Danio rerio: one gene and its partners. The protein of the gene in region 1 purifies or fractionates together with the protein of each later gene. This does not show direct contact. Links are inferred from orthologs where the notes say so. Each region holds a gene or a part of one and is shown in the gene's direction. Other genes may lie near its edges.

Region 1 (6,079 bases):
AGTTTGTCACGGGGAACAAATGAAATGTTCATGAGTGAATGTGAAACTGCTGAACTGCAGTTAAAGTCACCCAAAATTACAAGAAACCCTTACATGAAAGCACTTCACGTAAGCACCCTAATTATGTTGTCTATTAAGGCAAAACTACATTACAGATGTTTGTGTAAGCGTAGTCAGTAGTGTCTTCGAAGTAAGTGAAAGATCCAGAAGGGCACTTTTTTTGTCAGACGGCTTACCGGTTTGACTTTCATTCACCGTCATTCATTTTAAAAAGCACCCGGTCCATTTTGTTTATATATGTTGTACTCTAACGCATAAACTCTACAGGTGCCTGATAGTTAGTTGTGGAGCTAGCATTAATCAGATTCACACTGCATCCATGTTAGCTTGTCATGTTTGATGTGGTAATTTCAGAGTAGAAATACACTGGTTTGAAGACTCGTTCTCGCCACCCACAGTGCAATTCCGCCAAGTAAACATCAACGCTAAAATATCAAGGTAAAAGTCATCATAGCTTGTGTAGAACAGATCCAGCTCCCAACCCAACTTTGAGAACAGACTAACAGCTAAACAGTGACTAACAGTGTTTGTTTTTTAAATCACCTGATGGGAGTCTCGCGTTAACGCTGATAACGCCCACCACTTTATATAGGGTGTTCGCGGGGTCTTAAAGTATCAAAAGTAGATCAATCAATTATGAGATAATTAAGGCCCTTAAAAGTTACTAAAAAAATCTTAATCGCATTTTGTTCTCCAAAGTGTACCAGTGTAAATATATTTATTTTTCTCCTAATATTAACAATAGCGTGCCAGTTCCACACGATTGGTTCGGGCCGGGACACGTCCGGCCAAGCTTCTCTGTCCGGGTGGTGACAAATGCAGGACGGTAATGTGACACTCTCTACATGTAGAGAAACAGGTGGTAAATAGGAAAATGTAAGTTTGCATACTCCTGGTTGAAGAAAGTTGAGTTTAAACAGTGGCTCAATCCTGTCTCTGAAAACAACCCTGTAATTTATTCTTTCAAGCTTGGTTTCTTCCGAGCTTATCTGAATTCTGTTGCATGGTTGATTTAACTACAACTGTTTATTAAAGGTGCAGTAGGTCATTGTCTTCAGAAGCATTTTTTGTTGTGCTGGTTCAAAGTCTCTTCACAGTCTAATAGTAATGATTACAGTAAATGATCTAAATGTATTTATATGTATTTTTATATTTTGGGTAAGGCATAAAACAAAAAAATGTTCATCCTATTAAATGGAGTCCGACCGACATCTCTCAATTCCGATAAGTAGCACAATCTCTTTGCAAGCAAATGCAGATTTGAACAACTGCGCAGCTGTTTGTACGCATCTCCGCCGACTGAGATCGGTAAAAACATGCTGAATCAAAACTTTTTAAAAACCTGAATCAGTATTGGAGTTACCTTTGCATGCTGGAGAAAGGATGACAACATGTCTGAAAGATTTCTCTTAGACAAGTAATGTTCTGTTTTAAAACTGTTTTAACTTCACGCAAAGCTGATGTAACGTTGTTACAAATGGGTTAAATCTTAACAGAAATGTTGTTCAGCTACTAAAATATTTCGATGAAGGACTGATGAGACTATTTTCAGTTTCATAAGAGACCTTTTACAGCATCGATGATGTACATTTTATTTAGTTTAACAACTAAACACAAGTAAATACAGCTAAACGCCTAGTCTCTCCCTATATTGTTTACCATGCAACTCTAAATATTCCCTCTAAAATCGCATGTCAGTTTGGCTTGCACGCCGCCGGACAAGCACTAGTTGTTTTTAACACATGAGAGAGGGTTCTTTTGCGGTGCTCGTGTTTCAGGAGGCGTAGCTCTTAGACGGCAGGGGAGGCACTGTGATTCAGAGATTTATGCTAAGCTGTTAGCATTGTAGAAGATCACCTACTGCAACTTTAAGTTAAAGGTTTGATACTGATTAGCACTTGCAGTAGTGATGAGGTCTTAAAATATTCCGAGAAGGTCTTTTAAACCGTTTTAAAAAGGTATTGAAATTACCTTTTAGGATTCTTGCATATACCCTGTTATAGCTCTTGGACCAGGGTGAGATCAACCCACACTTTCTCCAATCCCTGGGGCTCTATGATGGTTGTGGATATTTCAAATTGAATCATAACAAATGATTACAATTGACTGAGATTGTCATTGAACGTTCGCAAATGTGCTTTAACTGGCAGAGCAGCAAAATCTCTCTCTCTCTCTCTCTCTCTCTCTCTCTCTCTCTCTCTCTCTCTCTCTCTCTCTCTCTCTCTCTCTCTCTCTCTCTCTCTCTCTCTCTCTCTCTCTCTCTCTCTCTCTCTCTCTCTATATATATATATATATATATATATATATATATATATATATATATATATATATATATATATATATATATATATATATATATATATATGATCAGACCTGCTTAAAGAGAACTATTGCATGCATCCCACAAGTGTTTTTTCTTTTCTTCTTGTGAAAAGATTGCTCTTTTTTTTTTTTTTTCCTAGGTGCAGGTCAGATGAGAGGTAGAGGTGGTCCTGGACGCATGGGTTTCCGCCGAGGGATGCGTCATCGGGGAGGAGCTCCAGGACGAGGAGCTCTAGGAGGTCGAGGTGCAGCACGTGGAATGCCTGGAGGAAGAGGTGAGAAATATTAAGCACAATTCTGCCAAGTACAGGGTTCTTACGGGTGCTGGAAATCCTGGAAAATGCTTGATTTTTAATATAGTGTTTTTAAGGTTAGAAAAGTGCTTGTGTTTTGAACAAAGTGCTTGAACCTGCTTGAATTTGAACTTAAAGGGCTCAAAATTGTGACCGTTTTGGTTGCATATGCGCACGATTTTATCTATGTGACCTCGAAATATATTTGGAAGCATGTGTGCTAGTGCATAAATTGTTGTCGTGCGACCAGTTTTCATTGCAAAATGTTCACCGCATGCGCGTATTTATGGAGCTAATAATAAGCCAAAACATTCTGAATCTGAATGTCCTATTAAAAAAAGTTTTGAATTTGTATTTCTTAACTTGATTATTGAACATCTGAAAACTTAATATTTGAAGTCAGATTTTTATAGACATTTTTAAACTTCAGATTTTTTTTGGGTTCTGAATTCATGCAGATATTGGGTATGTAAAAATAAGACTGCAGATATTGGGTATGTAAAAATAAAGTTTTACGTTTTTAGGAATTCAAATTAACAATTCAAATTCGGATAGTTTTGGCACTATTAGCTTCATACGTATTTTGGAGACATTCATCCAGAATGCATCTTTTGCACCTGAAATGCAAAACCAAAGACTGTAAAAAAAAAAAATAGTGACTGGTCCTGAAAGTTTGGTACTACACCCAAACAAAATCTGACTGTAAGCTCATTTCTTAAGATATCAACTTTAGGTAGAAAGAGGCCAAACTTAAAAACATACTTCACCCAATAACTGAACATTTTTTTATTTATTTTTTAATCACTTTTGGGTGAACTATCCCAATAAATCTATGCTCTAAAGTACTCAATTTAAGTTGAAATGTCATATCGTGTGGTTTTTAAAGTAGCACAATGTATTTAAATGTGAAAAAGTACATACAACATGTATAAGTGCAATTAATTATTACTATTAGGTGCTGGAAAAGCATGCAAATGCACCTTGAAAGTGCTTGAAAAGTGCTGGAATTTGAAGTTGGAAAAGGTGTAAGAACCCTGCTAGTAGTGTTTTCAGTTTTGCTCTAATCAGTGAAACCCATACAAAAAGCATTTTCCATCTCACCATACTAAAGCATTTCGTTCTCTCTTAGGCCGTGGAGGTATGAGAGGCCGTGGAGGGTTTGCTGGAAGGGGTCGTGGACGTGGCAGAGGCAGAGGAGCAGGTCGTCCCATCGTCACACGCGAGCAGTTGGACAACCAGCTTGATGCGTACATGTCTAAAACCAAAGGCCATCTGGATGCAGAGTTGGATGCGTATATGGCCCAGGCAGATCCTGAGAGTATGGAGTAGACCCTGTTGAGCTGAGACACAGCAGCTCCCAAAGATCTGCAAATAATAGACTGATCGATGACATAATCATCCAGTACCGTTTAAGCTTCCGCTGCTGTTGGACACTCCCTAAGACATTTACATTTTAAGGCGTTCAGACTTGAAGTTTGTACAAAGTTATGAATTTATCCCAGTTACATTCAGAGATTTGAGAGTTTTCACTCGCGGCTTCTGAATACAATCACAAATCCTCATCACAAGTTATAGTTCTAAAACAGAGGGCCTGTTAGGAAAAATGTTGGCTGTTAAGTGAAGGAATTTTGTTGTTGATTGAACTGTAATAAGAGATTGTACCTCTGCTATTTTTGGCTGAAATTCTGAAAATGGCCTAAATGTGTGAACAGTGAACTCCAAATGACATTTGATGACTCTGTGGTAAAAATGTGGCTTGTGTAAATGAACAGATGTTAATGACTGTAATGTTCTACACGTCACTTACCTTTTTATTATTATATTTTTATTTAGTATTTTTTAAGGTAGAACTTTTATTCATTACATACAGTCTTGTTTTTGTCAAAAAATGTTTTAACTATATTGTAACCCACAAACTTTTTTTTCTTTTTTCTTTTGGCATCGAATAAATCTTGGCTAATAAGATCTTGTGCTCTGGAGGACATTATCATTCTAGACATTCATTTTCATCACCGGGAAACATCCATCCATACATATACACGCATACTCTGCGGCCAATTTAGCTTACCCAATTCACCTGTACCGCATGTCTTTGGACTTCTGGGGCAAACGAGAGCACCCGGAGGAAACCCATGTGAACATGGGGAGAACATGCAAACGCCACACAAAAATGCCAACTGACTCAGCTGAAGCTTGAAACAGGGACCTTGCTGTGAAGTGATTGTGCTACCTACTGTGCCACTGTGATGCCCTCTTTCTAGACATCATTAACATGAATGATCATGTGGTATTCACTTTTTTTCTTCTTTTTTTCTCTTCTCCAACATGTTTTAATTTTAGTCTAAAAAGTAGATACAAAAGTGGTTTATGTATGCTTATTAAAAAATGTATAACTTTTGTTTCTGCTTATTTGGTAATAAAAAAAATCATTTGAATGTTTAAATTGTGCATGCTGCATTTCTCTCAATAGGTAGATAGATGCGTAAACTTGGGTACTGTGTGTGTGTGCGCAAGGAAATAAATGCAGCATTCAAAATTCAAACATTTTCCTTTGGCTTATACCCTTAATTCATCAGGCGTTAGCACATTGGAATGAACCGCCAACTTATACAGCATGTTTTGCACAGCGAATGACCTTCCAGCTGCAACCCAGTACTGGAAAATATCCAAACACACTCATTCGCACATTCTCTACGGCCAATTTAGTTTATTCAATTCACCTATAGCGCATGTCTTTGGACTGTGGGGAGAGAACATGCAAACACCACACAGAAATGCCAACTGACCCAGCCGGGAATAGAACTAAGGACTGAGCCATTCTCACCCCTAAAATATTAATAAAAAAAAAGTATATTTATGTAGTCAGAAGCTTTGACTGGAGGGTATAAATCAATTTGACTTGCATGTAAATGTATATTTGGTAGTCGGCTTGCATGTTTATTTTTATAAAATTTTGATTTGTATTGCATTATGTACATATATTTTATGTTACTATTTTTTTTTTTCTTAAAATATATCACCAAGGGTGGATTTAGCAGTTTGGGGGCCTCAAGCAACAAAAAAATAAAGTCATTTGAATGTTTAATATTGGGGCCCACGTCTTGAAATGCACCCTTTCTGCTTTTATTTAATGTTTATTTAATTTTATTTATTTATTCTATTATCTTCTTTTCTATATCTTATTTTAATCTCTACATTTTAAATGATTAGTTTTCTTAAAGTAAATAAACAACTTAAATTCATATATATATTTTAAATAGATTTGACTGCCGGACTTCTCCATGATTGTGAGTGGTGGATATTTTATTTTAGAATATTATTATTACATTACATTATTATAATAATGTAATATTTTAGTATGTATTAAATATTTTTTAATTATGTAAGATGTATTTGTTTGACCC
Region 2 (6,100 bases), on another chromosome or scaffold:
GTCTCTGTCATTCGCTACTTGATTTGTCCGCTTATACATCAATTAAAATTGATAACTATTCTAATTGGCTTGAAAACAAGATCGGCACTGTTGAAAGTATCAAAGTGCAAGTATGTGGGAATGGTGATAAGTTGGCAAAATAGAGGTTGTAAATGGCACTAATTCCATCTGACGATTGCTGTTCCTATATTTATTTGCAATAGTGTGCAATTTAATGTGTGAAAGGAGAGAAATTACTTTTTCTGCTTAACAGAACTGTTTGGGAAAATATCTAATTGCGATTTGTCTGACAGAGATTGCAATATGATTTCTAATTTAATTATGTGAAGTAAAGCTTTAGCTCAGTATTGTCAACAGTATGCAGCACTCACTTGTCCAATGATCTAAACTAATTAAATCTTACAGTTTTTGAGGCATTTTCTAAATCTCTTTAATTAAATTTAGCATTTAAGGCAATATCAAATATGTTTATTGTGGACAATGGTGGCCAATTCAGTTAGGTACCCACTGCAGTATAAATAAATAAATTAAAAAGATAAAATATGTTGAATATATTATTAATAAAATTACACATTTGATTTGTTTACAGCATTCGTTGCAAATATGTTTGTTTTTTTCAACAAAGTAAGCTATATTTGATGATGCATAACCATCTTGTACATGGTAAATAAATATATTTTCTTTTTGTATGGTCTCTGTTACAATTCACCAGGAACTGAACAATGTTATATAATGTAAACTTTGATTTATAGGAACTATTCATCAAAGAAAAAGTGTCACCATTTGCTCACACTGGTGTTCTTTAAAAATTGTTTGCCATGATACATAAATACAAGATCATATTCTCAAGAATGTTGTCCAAACAATATTATTTCCTGTTAAGTATGAAAAATGAAAAAATTACCAAACTAACTTTTTTTTCTCATAGAAGATGTAACAAGGAGGACATTGGTCTTAATCTGAGCTAAATCCCATAGTATGATAATGTACAAACATCCATTTTCTCCAGATGTTGTTTTGTAAATAATCATTATTGTCTCCTATTTTATCAATGCCTTCTTTTTTTTAGAAATGTGCTTACTTTGCAAACTTTGCTTACTTTGTATAATTATAACCATATAGTTTATTTTGTGAACAAAACACATGACTAAAGGATGGTTTCCTAAAAAGATTTTGTAAGCTTTTCTATTAGCTTGACAAAAGTCCAACTAATAAAATTTACATGAAAACAATGAAACCATAATTCATTCATTCTCCTTCATCTTAGTCCCTTTATTCATCAGGGGACGCCACAGCAGAATGAACCGCCAACTTATCCAACATATGTTTTATACAGCGGATGCCCTTCCAGCTGCAACCTAGTACCAGGAAACATCCATACACACTCATTCACACTCATACACTACACCAATTTAATTTATTCAATCCACCTATAACACATGGCTTTGGTCTATGGGGGAAACCGGAACACCAGGAGGAAACCAACGCCAACACAGGGAGAACATGCAAGCTTCACACAGAAATGCCAACTGACCCAGCTGGGGCTCAAACCAGCGACCTTCTTACTGTGAGACGACAGTGCTAACCACTAAGCCACTGTGTTCCATAAACAGAAATAAAATGGAATACAGAAACTTGTGCAAAATAAAATATTTTTTCATATTTATTGTACAACATATAGATACATTTGGTACATAACATTTACAATAATAATTATATTATTTACAATGGTACCAATAAAGAAACAACACAAGAACAAAAAACAACAGAAATCAAAACAAAGAAATATGATATCAATAGGTTATCTAATCTGAGAATAGATGCAACAGATAATGAAATTGAAAATAAAAAGGGCAAAATAAAAAAGATAACAAAGATTGGGATATTTAATAGATTACACATGTTGTGCAAATTGTTTACGTTTTGAGTGCATTCTTGTTAAGTGAATCTGGAATTGTAAGTAAATTTTGATCTCTTGTATAAAATACACAAGTGGATTTTATATTTGAAAATTTTATTTATAAATATAAAATATAGGCAGGGCGAAGCAGTGGCGCAGTAGGTAGTGCTGTCGCCTCACAGCAAGAAGGTTGCTGGGTCGCTGGTTCGAGCCTTGGCTCAGTTGGCGTTTCTGTGTGGAGTTTGCATGTTCTCCCTGCGTTTGCGTGGGTTTCCTCCGGGTGCTCCGGTTTCCCCCAGAGTCTAAAGACATGCGGTGCAGGTGAATTGGGTAGGCTAAATTGTCCATAGTGTGTGAGTGCGTGTGTGAATGCATGTGTGGATGTTTCCCAGAGATGGGTTGCAGCTGGAAGGGCATTTGCTGCGTAAAAACTTGCTGGATAAGTTGGCGGTTCATTCCGTTGTGGCGACCCCGGATTAATAAAGGGACTAAGCAGAAGGAAAACGAATAAATGAATATAAAATTTACATAAAAATAGAATAGGGTTTATTGTGAAGCAGACATTAAATTTGTATCTACAACCCAAAATAATAAATGTTGGATTCACAGTAAAATTCTGTAAAATAATATTTGAGATAAAATAAATAAATAATAATCATGTTACAGTTTGGACCAATGACAGTCACGCATCAAAAGAGCGGAAAAACGCATAGTAGAAAAGCCTATGACGAAGAGCCGCAGGAAAGTGGGTGTGGTTATTGTAAAACCACGTGATTGTCACCCAATCAAATCATACAGTCACAGCAAAGAGGCGGGAGCAAAACAAGTGTGTTTTACATGAGCTTTGCTGCAGTCGCGGCTGTGTCCAGTTTATCGAAATGGCGGAGACGGCAGACAGAATGGAGGTAAGCTGAAGCTACTCAAGGCCGGTTCGCCAAAAACGCTTCTGATGCTAAATATCTCGTAACCGTATCAGAATCGACACGGCGATTTTATTTACGTCACACGCCGGTTCCGAATCTTTGGTCTGTGAACAGATTTGATTGCTGCGTATGTAGTTATCAGGTGGCTAGAAATGTGCGCACACGCATCTTGAGCATCCATTTTAGCCTGCCGCAGATAATTCATTCATTTCGCATCACGTGTATGCTAGTGCTAATGTGCTAAATTTGAGCTAGCTTCGAGTTTTTAGTTGTTGAGTGTAACCACAGATGAATTTTGAGATTAAATGTATGAATATTTCTGTCATGTTAGCTACCGTTAGCTCGCTGTTCAGTTTCCACGTGAGCACGCTGGCGGAGGACTTCAATGACTTATTGTTGGGCAGAGACCGCATGGGACTGATGGATAGGAGCTAACGTTACGCTTTTTTTTCCTCTCTGCTAATCACAGTGATTGGGTTTTTTAATAAAACATCCTGTATTGTTTACTATGATCTAGTACTTGCGTCGTGACTAAGTTTTCTTTTAGACCACTTTTCCTCAAATGTGTATAATTAAAAAGTAGAAAAATTTAAGCTTAAGAGGACTCTTCAAAGGTTAACGTTAGGCGTGTGAAGATAAAATATGACTTTTTTTGCTTAACTATCCATTTTAAAAAAAAATGTGTAAAATGGTTCATTGCCTGCTGTGATATTTGCCAAAAGTTGGAACTAAATTCAGAGGAAGCCACCGACTTTATGTAGTTCTGTGTAAAAACACTGTTTACTCAGGGTTATTTACACTTGGCATGTTTGGTTTAAACATGTTTTGGGTCATCTCTTGACTAGTACCTTATTGCTTGCTTGTTTGTTTTAATATACTGAAGATACTGCAAATGTTTGAGAAAAGCCCAGCTCATGACTTTACTTGCTTATTTACATTTTTCTTATCTATTGAAATTGAGGTGTCCCAGGGAGAGAGCTCAGCGAAACCTGCAGCTGAAGACATGACGTCCAAAGACTATTACTTTGATTCCTATGCACACTTTGGCATTCATGAGGTACTTTCTTGTTAGTTCATTAATCTCAGCATTAGTGGTGAAGTCAATTTAATTTATTTATAATTAATGTAAACCCATTGAATCTTCACAGGAGATGCTAAAAGATGAAGTTCGTACTTTGACGTACAGAAACTCCATGTTTCACAACAAGCATCTCTTCAAAGATAAAGTTGTGCTGGATGTGGGAAGTGGTACTGGCATCCTCTGTATGTTTGCAGCCAAAGCTGGAGCCAAGAAAGTTATTGGGGTGAGAAGTAGTCCCATGATTTATTTAAAGCATTTTTGTTACATTTAAGCCATTTATTTGTATGTGGTATTATTTGATCATGCTGTGTATTGTCAGATTAATTTATTAATTTGTTGGTCATTTATTCCTTAGATTGAGTGCAGCAGTATATCAGACTATGCTGTGAAGATTGTGAAGGCCAACAAGCTGGATCATAGTAAGGCCTTCTCAGAGCTTTTGGCATCTTCATTGTTAACTTATTTTCTCAGCATGTTTCAAGGGATAGTTCACCCAAAAATGAAGTTTTACTCCCTCTCAAGTGGTTCTAAACCTATCAGTTTCTTTTTTTCCTGTTGAACACCAAAGAAGATATTTTGAAGAAAGCTGTAAACTGGTAACCGTAGTGACAGGTTTGCATCTTTCTTCAAAATATCATCTTTTGTGTTCAACAGAAGAAAATCACAGGTTTAGAATGAGTGAGGGGAGGTTAAACAATGACCATTTTCAGTTTTGGATTAACAGTTTTGGCCTATACCCATTTTATTCTTTATGTACCTAAAATTTTTAACCATGTACTTTTTCCTGTCCAGTCGTCACTATAATTAAGGGCAAAGTGGAGGAGGTCGAGCTTCCTGTGGAAAATGTAGACATAATCATCTCTGAGTGGATGGGCTACTGTCTCTTCTATGAATCCATGCTTAACACCGTCATTTATGCCAGGGACAAATGGCTGGTGGGTGTATGCTAATGTCTTTTACCATGTTGAAACTGTTCAGTATAAAATCGTATGTGCTTTCTTGATTTAATCACTGTTCACGTTTTCCATTGTTGGCTTTCAGAAACCTGATGGCCTGATTTTTCCTGACAGAGCCACCCTCTATGTCACTGCTATCGAGGATCGGCAGTACAAGGATTACAAAATCCACTGTACGCATCAATCTCTTAATGCACTCTTGAGTCTGTTCAGCTTTCTTTAAAGCAGTAACTCATTTAATTGTTTCATATTTGCACTTTTTTAGGGTGGGAGAACGTGTATGGATTTGACATGTCCTGTATTAAGGAAGTGGCCATTACAGAGCCGCTGGTGGATGTTGTTGATCCCAAACAGCTTGTTAGCACTGCTTGCTTAATTAAGGTTTGTTTGCAACCTTTTATTTTCCAATGTTCACATAATCCCTGCTTTCCTCATTTAATATTCAATACGTTTTCTTGATTCCTTAGGAGGTGGACATCTACACCGTGAAGATTGAGGACCTGTCCTTCACGTCACCTTTCTGCCTGCAGGTGAAAAGAAACGACTACATTCATGCTCTGGTAACCTACTTCAACATAGAGTTCACTCGCTGCCACAAGAGGACAGGCTTCTCTACCAGTAAGTGCTGTGTGTGGTGTTCACCACAAAATCACTTTGTATTCACCACGAGTTTATTGTATTGAAGGATGGTTGAACCCTGTTTAAAGTGAGTTTTGCTTGCAGGCCCAGAGTCTCCTTACACTCACTGGAAGCAGACTGTGTTCTACCTTGATGACTATCTGACAGTAAAGACTGGAGAGGAGATCTTTGGCACTATCAGCATGAAGCCCAACGTCAAGAATAATGTGAGCCTTGTGTGCACGTCTTACTTTTAGCACCTTTAGTGAAAGTGTAGGGATGGTCATATATATCTTGTTACCATTTTAATGGGTTGATTTCTGTATTAAATTGAACATTTTTCCAGTTTCTAATTTATGAAGTCTAAAAGCTCTTCATTTGGAAATTATATTGTAAAATTACAACTTAATCACTTCTAAACGTTTTCACTTTCTTTAATATTAATTAGGGGTGTTAACCTACACTGGTCTCACGGTTCGGTAACGATTATCATGCCATCGATTCAGTTTAATTCGATATCTCAGTGCAAAATGAGTTTTTTTTTTTTTCTCCCAACACTATTTTTTTTTTTATTAAAATCTGAAAATATATTAATATTTATATATTATTTGTAACACAATTT
Region 3 (6,100 bases), on another chromosome or scaffold:
TGATCATTCCTCTGGCTCTTGCTCCCAGTTCTGGTTTGGTGGATGCCAAGGAAATGGCAATAACTTTGTCTCCAAGGTGGCGTGCGAGCGGACGTGTAAGGCTTCTGTCAGAGGAAGAGAACCAACGTCCAGGAGAGTGATCTACGATGTCAGAGGTTATAGAGTGAGATCCCGTGCATAATAAATGTCCAGACAAATCCAACTCATAAACATGTAGATAAAACTTCAATTGTGCTGATTTGAAAGCAGTCTTGGGTTTATACTGACATCTACTGGCATTGATTTGTTTAAACTAAGCTTTTTTAAGGGATGAGAGAGAAACACTTTATCAAACATGACTGCATCAAAGCTAAAGATAATTTCCTTTCTTTTTATGTTTCGGTGTAAGTACTTTGGTTGTATACTCTTCCTAAGCCATTAAAGTGTTAACACAAACCAACTGCACTGAAGAATTAACTTGAATATATCTAATCTTGCATGTAGATGAATGGATGGATGGATGGATGGATGGGTGGGTGTAGATAGATAGATAGATAGATAGATAGATAGATAGATAGATAGATAGATAGATAGATAGATAGATAGATAGATAGATAGATAGATAGATAGATAGATAGATAGATAGATAGATAGATAGATTATATATTATTATTATATTTGTTATTATTACATTTAATAAAATTATTAAATAGTTTCAAATATTTATATTTATTCAAATATTAAGTGACGTTTAATGAAGAGGCGATCATCTTCCAACATGCTTTAAAACTTTTGTCTTTGTATGTGCTGACAGAATCTTTTAGTTATTTTGAAAGATGCTTTTATACTTTGCAAAGGTGCAGTATGTAAATTTATTGAGCTGTATTACATTCCTGGATCAAAACAAACGCATGCGCAGGTTATTAGAGTGACGACCAATACAGGCGAGTCTGACTGTCTAGCCTAAAGGCTGATTTAAACTGCGTTCTATACAAAAGCTACGTAATAGAAGGATAGAAGGAATATTATTCATTTATTTTGTCCTAACAAACTCCTTCAATTGATAAATTAGAAACAGTTTCTATATCTTGCAGCTGAACAACAGAAAACTTTGACAATGGTCACCTCATGTGCTTTATTCAGTGTTAAATGTTAACAATGTGAGTTTGGATGGCATTTTACATGACATCTATTGCCATATACTGAAAGCAGCAGCAGATAGTTCACCTCAGATATTGAAAATAAAATAAACTGATTGAACTTTAGAATTGTGACTCAGTGCAAGACAACACAAATGAGTGATTCAGCATCTACATTTAATAATGTCAAAGAGGTTTAATATGTATTAAATAGATTTTTTAAAACTTACCTTTTCATGAGTGAGTACATATTCTGTGCCTCTAAATGTCTTTATTTAAATTTCTTTCATGTTTCTTCTGGTGCAAACAGCTAAATTGCTAATAACTACTAATCTTGTCATGTAGCATGTTGTTAGGGCATGCGGTTACAATGTAACCTGCTCACCTAATGTTTACACTCGTAATATTTATATTATTTGCAAATTAATAACCTCATGTGGAACTGAATCTGCGTCTCATTCCAGAGTCTGCTACTTTCTCACGGAGGTAGCGTTGTGGTCATGGAACCATGCTTTGAGAGCCTTTCTGAATGAATGAATGAGTTACTGAATGAATGAATGAATGAATGAATGAATGAATGAATGAATGAATGAATTGCTCCGTTTTTCACCAAGGCAACCCGGGGTGCTAAAATATAATCTAAAGTTGCAATAGGTGGGTTAAAATAACCAAAACAGAGACAGACGTTCCGGCACATAACTTACATTTACAAAGCAGAATATCTGACTTTAACATTGTTTTTCAGATAAACAAGAATGTTCATGTGGCATGTTTACTAAACATCTGCAAACATATTATAGTATTTTTATGCTTTAGAAGAGTCAAAACATACAGTACTTTTAAACTACGATTTAAAGGCTTATCAAAAGTTATTTATTAGTTTTACATTCGACAAGTTATCAAGACAAGCAATCAATCAAAAACAAAATGCTAATAATTCACATCTATATCACAAGTAAGCTAATAATACTGACCCTAAAATTATTATTATTTTTTTATTATTAAATTAAAAATATATATAAATTAGGTACAAATGTGTGACAATAAGAATTTATAATTTTGTAAACCATTGTTACAGATATAACATTTTGATGATAAAAACTATACTATGTATTTGTGATGTAGGTTAAAATTACAGGATAAATAAAATAAAATCATTAAATTATAAAAATTTAAATATAGAAATATTTGTAAATAATATTGTAAAGCCTATTTCTAATATTTAATTTTTATTTATGTGTGTGTGTGTGTGTGTGTGTGTGTGTGTGTGTGTGTGTGTGTGTGTGTGTGTGTGTGTGTGTGTGTGTGTGTGTGTACGTGTGTGTGTACAAAATTTAAACAAATATTTGTAAACAGTATTGCAAAGTCTTATATACATCGTTTATCCATAAATAATAGTAAATAGGCTGACTTCTTTTTCACTTGCAGTCATTTGAATATTACATCAAAATAATGAATACAAAATATGAAGTAAAAATTATAAGTAATGTCATTAACGACAAAAATAAATACCATTTCCGTAACAGTGAAAAAGCTTTTATCTTGAAAAGCCAACGCTTCGCCTACACCGGAAGTGTGATCGTTTCTTGAACATTCCTGCTGTTTCCTTCGCTGCTAACAGTGAATAGCCGTCAGTGGTTACCCCAGCGTTCAACGCCACTTTTATACATCAGGACCAGATATGGTAAGTATTTTGTCGATGTTTTTTCTACTCGTATATATCCTTAGACAGCCACCATATCAGAAAAATCGCGTTTCACCGACTGCTCCAACACATTCAACAAAAATAAAAGTGAACGAACGCGCGCGGCTAGCAGTGTGTTACGAGAGAACGTCGAATAATCCTCAACACAGCGAGCTTTCATGTGTCTCGAAATACCACACATGCAAAGTTAGGTTCTTTGTTGAAAGTTCGACCGGAACAAACTCCTGTTCAGCTTCAGTATTGGTAATATCAGTGTTTGTGAGGAACATGTAGTGTTTTAGTTTGGGGGAGGGTTCGAGTACAACAGCTGCTGTTTTCTGGGTATTGTGTCAAAGCATCCATATCAGCTAACGTTATATTCCCAAAGTGTATTTAGTTCATACGTCAAACATGAATAACTAAACAACACGTCATGTTTTTGAAATGAACGCACGATTAATCTCACTGTCAGGAGCCAAAGCTGTGTTCCTGTCAGTAGGGGGCTCCACGCAATTGTTTAATTCGTCGTCTAGATATGTAGTGTTTCTAACTTTTACTTGATTTATGATATAAACACAATAAAATGTTTTTTTCTTTATTATCGTTCAGTCTCACACAATTCTGCTGGTGCAGCCCACCAAGAGACCAGAAGGCAGAACATATGCAGATTATGAGTCTGTCAACGAATGTATGGAAGGTAGGATAATTCTTTTCTTTGTGTGTGTTATAAACAATTATAATGCTTTAAAGGGATAGTTCACCCAAAAATTGAACTATTGACCATAGTAGAAAAAACAAAAACTATGGAAGTCAGTGGCTTTAGGATTTCACCTCTCTTTAAAATGTCTTCAGAAAGTAAGAAACTCAAACTGGTTTTGTAACTGTGAAGAGAAAACAAATTTTTTTTGGGGTGAACTATCTTTATTGTACACTGAATATTGCACTACTACTTTTAATGCGTGTTTAACCATTTTCCTTCTTACCAAAAGGAGTGTGTAAGATGTATGAAGAGCATCTGAAGAGAATGAATCCCAACAGTCCCTCCATCACATATGACATAAGCCAGTTATTCGACTTTGTTGATGATCTTGCCGATCTCAGCTGTCTTGTGTAAGTAATCACACTTTTCACTTGACAAAGCCTAATGTCTAAGGTCCCGATTACACTAAAAAGTTTTAGTTTTAAAACGCATAAGTTTTGCTACAGTGACGTCTTCCGTTCAGATTACCCCAGAGTTTTAGATCATTGAAAGCGGAGTGTTTTGGAAATGCTGAAGAGGTCGCTTTTGTGTTAACCCTTTAACTGTCTGCTCTATCAAATGGTTGACCATATTTTGATTGTTTTAAATTAAGGTTTACACAAACAGCATTGTTGCTTTACAAAAAATCTAACAAACATAATCCTCTTGCACTACTACACTTAGTTTTGATTTTATTGTAAAAAGCAAAAAAAAGAAATCTTGAATTATTTAATAATAAGAAATATTGTATGGCATACTTAAAAAAATAAAGATGATTCAGTATTTAAAATGTTTTATTTAAATTGTTTTAAAATGAGTCATATTGTTATAAATTAGTCTTACACTTCATGTTTTTAGAATTTTTATAGTATGTGTATTGATTCTTAGTACTTTTACCATAAACCAACATATTATCCACTTGGTAGCGGTTGATATTTTTAAAATTATGGGATGTGATGGGGAAAAAATGCATCGAGTGTGTTAACTTTAGAATTTAAGAAATGCAATCCCAAGAAAAAGTTCTTGGTGGGGAAGTTAAAGTGTTAAAATACTGCTGAAAAATAGAGGCTCAAAACGGATCGGATTCAGGCCTTTTCCCAATATTAAATGCAATATTAAGTTCAGTCTTGCATCCTTTCCTTGAAAGTTCAGACTTTGCAAGTTTTATATGGAAAACTACCTCCTGAGGACACGTCGGGTAAATTTTCAATGGGAACAGTGTACTTTATAACAATCACAGCGTTCATATAGTCATTCATGTCACTCTGACTACGCTGCTTCACTATCTTAAAAAATCAATGAAAACATGATATAAGGATTTAAATAGACACCAAAAATGTTCAGGCATCGTATAGCTACATACTTGTATTACTGTCATCTTCACAGTATGCATATTTATAAGAAAACGGAGCCTGTAGACCCATAGGTTTCCAACCTTTTTTGCCTGAGACCCCCTTTTCTGCTGGAAAATATAGTGAGGCCATCCTCAACATTTAATGATATTATCGCTCATATAAGTTTGCAGTAAGGATGACAAAAAATGTTGCTTTCAAAAAGACTGTATGACTGTATCTCAAAAAGACTGTACTATTATCTCTCCTCCTTGGCGAAATTCTAGGCAAATGGCCAGTGTGGATGTGGATAGTTTTTGTTGTTAATTGCCGTTTTAAAACTAAAACATATCGGTGTAAACAGGGCCTATTAAATGCTCATGCTCGTCAATCATGTACAATTGTCTTTAATTATTTGAACAGGTACAGAGCGGACACACAAACCTACCAGCCTTACAACAAAGACTGGATCAAAGAAAAGATCTATGTGCTGTTGAGGCGTCAGGCCCAACAGGCTGGAAAATAAAGACGGTGGAATTATTGAACTAGTCCCCAACTACGCTTCATCACAGGACAGACGTGGCTGAACTGAACAGTGAATTGATGCCAACTGGTTCAGATTTTGTTGAATGCATGTCCTTTGAGTTATGTCAAAAGCATAGAGTGAAAATATTTTGCATTTTAAATCACATTTTTGTAACTTCGGAGTTCGGGACTTGGGTTATTTATCGGGCTAGAGGGTAATATTGGGGAAAGAAAAGTTTTAGGATTTTTTTCGTTGTTGTTGCTCCCGATCCCTCCCAATTAATGATGTTTTATATTGTGGATTTATTTTTGATTTAGTAAAGTATAACATTTACACATTTCAGATGTTGTTGAGATGGTTCCGAGTTATTCTTATATCCCAACTTTTGTCCTCTGTGTTGTTAAAGGTTTTGTTGGCCCTCTCTGATTTGTGCATCCAGTAGTAAAAACTGGCAAACAATAAAATTCTTCTCAAAAAACGTGGAAATGTCAGTGCTTTTTTCTTTTTTTCTTAGCCTAAAGAGCCCATATTATGGGTTTTTGAAAATTCCCCTCCATGTAGTGTGTAACACAGCTCTAAGTGAAGTGGAGTATCCAGCTAAGGCTTAAATCTGTTAGTGTACAGTGTTAAAAACGGTTGATTCATCTAAAAAAGAGTCGACTCATAGTGCTTCAAACGAGTCGCCTTGATACGGATTCATTA

What was found.
Region 2: the proteins of chtopa (region 1) and prmt1 purify together in Homo sapiens (affinity purification with western blotting; 7 studies listed by BioGRID and IntAct, with this or other methods). This does not show direct contact. The link is inferred for Danio rerio from reciprocal best matches to the Homo sapiens genes CHTOP and PRMT1.
Region 3: the proteins of chtopa (region 1) and erh purify together in Homo sapiens (affinity purification with mass spectrometry; 3 studies listed by BioGRID and IntAct, with this or other methods). This does not show direct contact. The link is inferred for Danio rerio from reciprocal best matches to the Homo sapiens genes CHTOP and ERH.

What each region holds. Positions count from the first base shown.
Region 1 is NC_133194.1:26,306,010-26,312,088, reverse strand, and holds the end of chtopa (chromatin target of PRMT1a), read left to right. Parts: intron 1-2,522; coding exon 2,523-2,657; intron 2,658-3,804; coding exon 3,805-4,004; 3' UTR 4,005-4,640; downstream 4,641-6,079. UniProt on the Homo sapiens protein: Plays an important role in the ligand-dependent activation of estrogen receptor target genes. May play a role in the silencing of fetal globin genes.
Region 2 is NC_133178.1:31,171,371-31,177,470, reverse strand, and holds the start of prmt1 (protein arginine N-methyltransferase 1), read left to right. Parts: upstream 1-2,687; 5' UTR 2,688-2,778; coding exon 2,779-2,805; intron 2,806-3,784; coding exon 3,785-3,880; intron 3,881-3,971; coding exon 3,972-4,127; intron 4,128-4,259; coding exon 4,260-4,323; intron 4,324-4,696; coding exon 4,697-4,839; intron 4,840-4,945; coding exon 4,946-5,033; intron 5,034-5,125; coding exon 5,126-5,241; intron 5,242-5,327; coding exon 5,328-5,478; intron 5,479-5,583; coding exon 5,584-5,705; intron 5,706-6,100. UniProt on the Homo sapiens protein: Arginine methyltransferase that methylates (mono and asymmetric dimethylation) the guanidino nitrogens of arginyl residues present in proteins such as ESR1, histone H2, H3 and H4, FMR1, ILF3, HNRNPA1, HNRNPD, NFATC2IP, SUPT5H, TAF15, EWS, HABP4, SERBP1, RBM15, FOXO1, CHTOP, MAP3K5/ASK1, MICU1 and NPRL2.
Region 3 is NC_133195.1:36,361,079-36,367,178, reverse strand, and holds erh (enhancer of rudimentary homolog), read left to right. Parts: upstream 1-2,668; 5' UTR 2,669-2,799; coding exon 2,800-2,802; intron 2,803-3,411; coding exon 3,412-3,499; intron 3,500-3,791; coding exon 3,792-3,912; intron 3,913-5,295; coding exon 5,296-5,398; 3' UTR 5,399-5,884; downstream 5,885-6,100. Other genes in the region: paplnb (papilin b, proteoglycan-like sulfated glycoprotein), read left to right, coding at 1-181. UniProt on the Homo sapiens protein: May have a role in the cell cycle.